Linked DNA regions of Drosophila melanogaster. Each later gene encodes a partner of the first gene's protein in a complex. Each region holds a gene or a part of one and is shown in the gene's direction. Other genes may lie near its edges.

Region 1 (3,316 bases):
GTCTGCGAGCACTGGACCAGGCAAGCCAGCCATTGTGTGAACTGGAAGCGGCATACAATGCCCAAAAGAAGCAATTGGCGGCTGGTCATGAGCACGCTTTGCCGCCCTCTCAAATATTCGGCCATTTGCGAGAAGTCTTTGCCGATATCCAAAGTGTTCTAGGAGCTAGAAAGAGTACTCCAGATGAGAATTGTACCACAACATCTACAGGCAACCAGTTGGAAGTGCGCCAGAGGGTGCGGAACAAGGCCATGTACGGCGTCGAGGAACGGGAGCCGCAAAACCAGGCGGATGAACTAGAAGTGCAGCTGGAGGTCAACGAGACTTATCAACGCCGCATGTCCTCGGCCACCGTTTTTCAGAGGGAACTTCCAGCAGACGTGCAGCAAGAGTATGAGATGATTGAGTTTAGTGACGACGAGGAAATGGAAGTGGGTGAAAGCGAGGAGGTCACGGAAGAAGAACTCAAAGCTATTTTGGATACTTGAGTTAGTTTATAAAACTTTTACATAATTAAATAACTAGCATTTTTGCGCGATGTGATCTTGTTTATCTGTTGCACATAAAATATTCATTGTATTTAAGTATGTAGGATAGGATATATAACTATATAGGATATAAGTTTCCTAGGCTTTGCTATTCTTATATAAAGAGTTGAAAAGTATATTGAAGATTATTATTTATTATATAATATTAAATACTCTCGACTAGTTTGGATTTGAATTTCAAAAGTCGAGGATAAAAGGTTTAATTATAATTCGCTTGCGTTGGCTTTATTAAAATATAGACTTAATAAAAAAGTTAGGATTTTATTTAAGTTTTGCTCACCTGCGTGGTCTTGCCACATCCTGTTTCGCCCTTAATAATGACTACCGGATGAGCATTGATGGCCGCCAATATTTCCTCGCGCTTGGCGTAGATGGACAAGTTCTTGTCGCGATTCAGATTGAATCTGAACTTCTTGTAGTACTCGTCATCCCGGCGAATTTCGGTCTCTTCCCCCTCATCGTCGGTGTCCAAATCGTCCAGCGTTCGAATGCGTTTGCCTTGAGGCTGTTCGTTGAGCAGCGTCTGGATCGAATTACACATAAACAAACAGAAGTGCTGACGCAAGCTTCCAGTTCTCACCCCGTTCAGGAGACACTTTTCCTTGGCGACGATTTTGCTGACATAGTCGGTGCCGATCAACTCGCGGTTGGGCACTTCGGATGATTTGAACTTCGTGGCCATTAGCCTCGGATCGCTGCTGATGTAGCCTTGCGGGGCGGCGGCCACGCGCTTCAACTCCTTCGAGAAGTCAAAGAAATCCATAACCTCCTGATCCATTTTCCGACATAAACAATGAAAAATTTCACAATTCCGCGTAGCGGGAAAAGTTAAACTGTAAATTGTAGTGGTGGGGATTTTCAAAGTCAATGTTGAAAAGTGTAAAAGTGCGAATTTATATCGATAGTGCCATTATCGAAGCTTTAAGGTTTTTATTAGGGGTATTCGTATAAAAAAAATGTTTTCTTTTTTTTCTCACAGTCTTTCTGGATTATTTGTTAATATTATTTATTATTTTTACACGAATATTTAATTCTTTGTTACATTATTTATATTTTATATCTCATATTTTATTTTTGGTTTATGTCATTAAGAAACTACGATATATTTGAATACGATATTTGAGCATTGAATTTATGTGGGTAATCGAAAGAAACCCAGCTCTAATTTGTTCGGGCAAATTCAATAGCAAAACAACTTCTTTGGCAATTTTAGTTTAATTTGGTCGCAAAAATGTCGCTAACTATGCGAATTTTCACCGCATCGCGCAACGGTAGGTGGCGACCCATCCCCTCACATCCGTTGTTTTCCGGGAAATTTCCCATTTTCGTGGAAATCGCGGCGAGTGAGGTTATGTAAGCTTATGTCATACCAAAACAAAAGTCTAAACTCGCTTAATTCAGTATAACTTTTCGACTTAAGCATGTTATTTAATGGTAAAATGTTCTCCCCACAGGACAGCGCCTGTTTGGCAGCCATGGAGCCCGGCTGCTGGCCGCCCAGCGAGCAGAACCCAAAGATATCGTCGAGGTTCCCAAGGGCTATGTGTATGTAAACAACAAGGAACTGAGCATGGAGTTTGCCGACATCACGGACCGTGCTGCATCCACCATGTTCTTCGGTGAACTCTTACGTGGATTTGCCGTCACCCTGGCGCACATCTTCAAGGAACCGGCCACTATCAACTATCCCTTTGAAAAGGGACCACTGAGCCCGCGATTCCGCGGAGAACATGCCCTTCGTCGTTATCCCAGTGGAGAGGAGCGCTGCATCGCTTGCAAGCTATGCGAGGCTATTTGCCCCGCACAGGCGATCACCATCGAAGCGGAGGAGCGCGCGGATGGCAGCAGACGTACCACACGCTACGATATCGACATGACCAAGTGCATCTACTGCGGATTCTGTCAGGTGAGGAGGAGCAAAGTGGCGCCACAATTTACTAGAAACTAATTGCATCTTTTTGTCCCCCCGCGTAGGAAGCCTGTCCCGTGGACGCCATCGTCGAGGGACCCAACTTCGAGTTCTCCACGGAGACGCACGAGGAGCTGCTGTACAACAAGGAGAAGCTTCTCTGCAACGGCGACAAGTGGGAGTCCGAGATTGCCTCTAACTTGCAGGCCGACCATCTCTATCGTTAAAGTTGCTTGTACCCCTAGAATTCCTTGTTTAGAACGATTTTCCAATTAAAGATCGTTGCTGTGGCTTCGTCTTAAGCGAAAGTCAGTTGTATTTTTTTTAATTACTCAACTGGCCTAATAAATATAAATTATTTATATTCAAAGAGTTCCACGTTGTATTCGACAGATGACAAAGTTTATTTAATTAACAGGCCAATAGAAAGCATTTTTTCCAATGACGGAGCGACTACAAATAAATGAAACTTAGTTAATACTTTACTATTCCGATTTTGATTACACAAATTATAGGCAATAACTTCCATTTGCTGGTCAGTTATTAGAAACAGATATTATTTATGAAAGTTACTTGCAGTTTTATCCACGTTAATTTTGTAAAAAGAATTTACATAAATTAATTAAAACAGAAAGGCTTACAAATTCAAATAATTTATTTAGTGGTTAATGAATTTAATTAATTGTGACACGTTGGCAGTGATACTGCAAATTAGGACCACGCTGCGAGTAAAACTTAATTGAAGGGTATTTTTACCCGTCGTAGAAGCAAAACAAGATACCAGATATTGTGGATAGCTGTTTATTGTCCAGGTCCAGCCAGACTCTTCTCCATGAACTTTTTCTTCGCGAAGCAGGTC
Region 2 (3,378 bases), on another chromosome or scaffold:
AATCCATACAAGACTCGGTTCCAAAGGCCATCATGCATTTCTTGGTTAACTACGTTAAGGACAACTTGCAGAGCGAATTGGTTACACATCTGTATAAGTCGGATAAGGCTGAAACCCTGCTCAACGAGTCCGATCACATTGCAGTGCGCCGAAAAGAGGCGGCAGATATGCTGAAGGTGCGCTTGGCTAGCTTATACTTAGCTTGACATCGTTTTAAACTTACTTTTGATTTCAGGCACTGACGCGAGCGAATCACATCATCAGCGAAATCCGCGAGACCCACATGTGGTAGGCTGGTCAGCGATTGGAGCAACCCGTTTCGACTTAATAATCCCCGCATATAAGCAACATAAAAACTATTTATTGAAGACGCGTTCAAAGAGAACGAACTCCTTTGTTAAATGTTCCCCCTACCGAGCACTGAAATATCATCAAATTGCATGCGACCCCCAAATTCTGGGCCTTTCATTTAGCCAACTCGCATTTCTATTCGCCTGGCATTTGTCTATCATCGAGCCTCTCCGCTTTTTAAATTAATAAGAAGTTGTAGACGCCGTGATTGGTTTGATTAGGTTACTCAAAGCACTTATTACACATTGAATAGTCAAATAAAGCAGAAAAGGTTGATTCAAACATAGTAGATGTGTTTTCTGTCACGGCAGCTAAAAGTTTACGAAGGCAACGTCATCATGTTGAATGATACACCTGGAATTTCGATTAGATAAGCCATTATGTTCGTAAAGTTGCTAGGCTCAGTCTGAAGATTAATAAGTGTTTAAATCTGATAGGAGTTGAATCTTCCTGAGTTTTGAGATGCGTAGCAATTGCTTAGCCTTACTAAAAACAAAATTTTTCTTACAAATTATGTTACATGTAGGTGTGGCTTGAGTGAACTAGAAGTACGTTCGTTCCCCTGATTGAAATCACTGCCACTCACCTTTCGTAATAAAAACTTTAATACTTGGATACCAGTTAAAATCTAATTTGGAAAACGTCATTTGTATTGCGGCGAAGAAACAGAAGTGGGTTCCAGCTGGGGCGTGGCAAATCCCGAAGATAAGGATGTGGTGTCCAGTGCTCCAATCCTGTGTTGATTAAATGCTCCGCGATGCGTATGAATCGGTTTATGGGGCAGGGAACAGTTGGGGTAGTGACTCTATGACCGCCTTTGGCTGTGCTGATCTCCTCTAGGCGCGATTTGTGTCGGACAGCACGCGGACAATGCAGCCCACTCCTCCCTTGGCGAAGGCCTTCTCATGCCACTGCAGCAGGTGGCCACTGGAGCCCTCCGAGGGGATCTCGAATCCCCGATATATGTACTTCATCAGCACGTCTATTAGGTCGTTCTGGTCCAAGGTGTCGATGGCCTGGTCCATTTGCGTCGACTTGATGGACAGCAGCACCCGCAGCGTGATGTTCAGGGCGTGGTCCTGCAATGCAAGGAAGGATTAGCTTTATAGGGTTCTCGATACGAATAGGTGTGGCTACCCACCTTCACATTCTGGTTCTTGCAGCGCAGCGGGGCATTCTGCAGCGCACTCAGGAGCGCCTCCACGGATTTTCCCTGCGTCAGCAGCGTCGTAATCTCGCTCTCATCCGGACCGGCTGCCGCGCTCTCCACCCCATCATCCTCCCGGAAGTTGTCCTCATTGTACTGGTCCACATCGATCTTGCGGAACGCGTTGCTGGACGTGTTTTTGGCCATGTTTTCGCTAAATTCCCACCACTTTTCTCTACAAAAATATGAATCACAAAATCCGGCAAGGCAAAACAGATGAGTGGCAGTGTGGCCGAACCTCAGAAAATACTAGCTGCAGTATTATTACCAAAGCGCCAATAATGCACAGGATACATCCAAGCAACAAAAAACATGAGTTTCACAATCACTTATCTCAGCAAATGAAAGTCTAATGAGCTTTAAAAATATTTTGAGAGTAGGTTTCGACCAATCTTGTTCCATTTTTACTTCAAAGAATATGATTGATATGATTCAGTATTTCTAGCTGGTGCTTTTGACCTCTCCTGGCCACACTGCAGATTGACTTTGTTTTTGTTTCAAGTGAGTCCAAGAAAATCGAAATTATTTACGTTTAATATATTTCTGGGTTTTCCCGGCAGCATGGCAAAGTTTTTGGGCATCAACCGGCTGACAAAGCTGTTCCAGATGGTCCGCGAAGCCGGAGGACTGAAGCAAGCGTACCTGAAGCTCTATAGGTGAGTCTCGATCTTATATAAGATTGCTCCAATCCTGAAAACCGCATATGCGCTATTTTCCAGGAACGATGATCTGAAGATCGGAACCCTGGTGGGCATCGACAAGTACGGCAACAAGTACTTCGAGAACCCGTACTACTTCTACGGCCGCAATCGCTGGATCGAGTTCGCCCCCCACGTCAACATGGACTACGATGGATCCATGATTCCCGCCGAGTGGTACGGCTGGATGCACTACAAGGTGGGTTTAGACTACATCTTGTCGCACATGTTATTACCTTTTTCCTTATAGACCGATCTGCCTCCCATTCGCGATGGATGCCGCCCCAAGTACAAGTGGATAGCGGACCACAGCGAGAATCTTTCCGGAACTAAGGGTAACTATGCACTATTCCCATTAAGTAAGCCCCCTAATTCAATCCTGCTCTTGCAGAGGCCTACTACCCCTACTCCACAACACCCAACAAAGTGGAGGCCTGGGAACCCAAGGCGAAGAAGCAGTAGTGTGGCATAGCTTATAATTATTTTTAAATTCAAGTGCAAATGGCTGCGATTGATGAGAACACCCGATCGAGTTAATAAACCCAATTTTGTTGACTCTGCACTCGAAGAACAATTTTAGCAATGGACAGAAAAGTGAAGTAACTCTGCCTATTCCCATATTATTCAGGTTTTGAATTGGTTTCATCTTGTCTTTATTCAATCACAGCTAGATTATATAACTTTACTTTTACTTTTAGCAGGACCTACTACGAATATATACAATGTCTTTCTGCGCCTTTCGTGGCGCGTCGTTGAGAAGAGCTTGATCATAGCTGGATTATATCTAGCCAATAGTTGTCCACTCCATGCTAATACTCCTCCTTGATGGCGACCTTCTGGGCCTTCTTGGCCCGCCTCTTGTACTTCTTGGCGGTATCCGCACACTTGGTAGTGATGGTGGCCCGAATCACCCGTTCCTTGCCGCCCGTCCGGTTTCTCACACAGACCACGATGTCGTCCACCTTGCGTTGGTCTAACTGGAGCTTTGGGGGTCTTTCGCGGCCGTAGAATGCGGGCGACGGCTTCCCGGTCAGCGTGTGGGTAGCCAACTCATCGCTGCTGAAGACAACGCAAAGAAGACACCTCGTGGCCACCGGGGCGTTGGTCCAGAAGACCTCACCG

What was found. Proteins that work in one complex are often made in the same cells at the same time.
Region 2: the proteins of ND-23 (region 1) and ND-B17.2 are in contact, whole or in part, in a cryo-EM structure (PDB 8ESZ), measured with the Drosophila melanogaster proteins. Residues at the interface, in NP_524719.1 of Drosophila melanogaster: Glu85 (codon at 2,215), Pro86 (codon at 2,218), Ala87 (codon at 2,221), Thr88 (codon at 2,224), Ile89 (codon at 2,227), Asn90 (codon at 2,230), Pro92 (codon at 2,236), Phe93 (codon at 2,239), Glu94 (codon at 2,242), Lys95 (codon at 2,245), Gly96 (codon at 2,248), Pro97 (codon at 2,251), Leu98 (codon at 2,254), Ser99 (codon at 2,257), Pro100 (codon at 2,260), Phe102 (codon at 2,266), Arg110 (codon at 2,290), Tyr111 (codon at 2,293), Pro112 (codon at 2,296), Ser113 (codon at 2,299), Gly114 (codon at 2,302), Glu136 (codon at 2,368), Thr148 (codon at 2,404), Arg149 (codon at 2,407), Pro176 (codon at 2,556), Asn177 (codon at 2,559), Phe178 (codon at 2,562), Glu179 (codon at 2,565), Phe180 (codon at 2,568), Ser181 (codon at 2,571); in NP_001137770.1 of Drosophila melanogaster: Arg32, Asn33, Asp34, Asp35, Lys37, Phe58, Tyr59, Gly60, Arg61, Arg63, Trp64, Ile65, Phe67, Tyr75, Asp76, Gly77, Ser78, Ile80, Pro81, Ala82, Glu83, Tyr85, Gly86, Met88, His89, Tyr90, Lys91, Thr92, Cys101, Arg102.

The regions. Positions count from the first base shown.
Region 1 is NT_033777.3:15,835,493-15,838,808, reverse strand, and holds ND-23 (NADH dehydrogenase (ubiquinone) 23 kDa subunit), read left to right. Parts: upstream 1-1,691; 5' UTR 1,692-1,779; coding exon 1,780-1,819; intron 1,820-2,002; coding exon 2,003-2,454; exon of another isoform or gene 2,455-2,522; coding exon 2,523-2,684; 3' UTR 2,685-2,761; downstream 2,762-3,316. Other genes in the region: Pbp45 (PSEA-binding protein 45kD), read left to right, coding at 1-488; spn-E (spindle E), read right to left, coding at 829-1,071, 1,129-1,326; Arpc3A (Actin-related protein 2/3 complex, subunit 3A), read right to left, coding at 3,259-3,316. UniProt on the Drosophila melanogaster protein: Core subunit of the mitochondrial membrane respiratory chain NADH dehydrogenase (Complex I) that is believed to belong to the minimal assembly required for catalysis. Complex I functions in the transfer of electrons from NADH to the respiratory chain.
Region 2 is NT_033779.5:2,578,696-2,582,073, reverse strand, and holds ND-B17.2 (NADH dehydrogenase (ubiquinone) B17.2 subunit), read left to right. Parts: upstream 1-1,901; 5' UTR 1,902-1,934; intron 1,935-2,003; 5' UTR 2,004-2,119; coding exon 2,120-2,214; intron 2,215-2,277; coding exon 2,278-2,455; intron 2,456-2,506; coding exon 2,507-2,591; intron 2,592-2,647; coding exon 2,648-2,718; 3' UTR 2,719-2,817; downstream 2,818-3,378. Other genes in the region: Drp1 (dynamin related protein 1), read left to right, coding at 1-176, 236-292; Arpc5 (Actin-related protein 2/3 complex, subunit 5), read right to left, coding at 1,188-1,430, 1,493-1,705; Elba2 (early boundary activity 2), read right to left, coding at 3,066-3,378.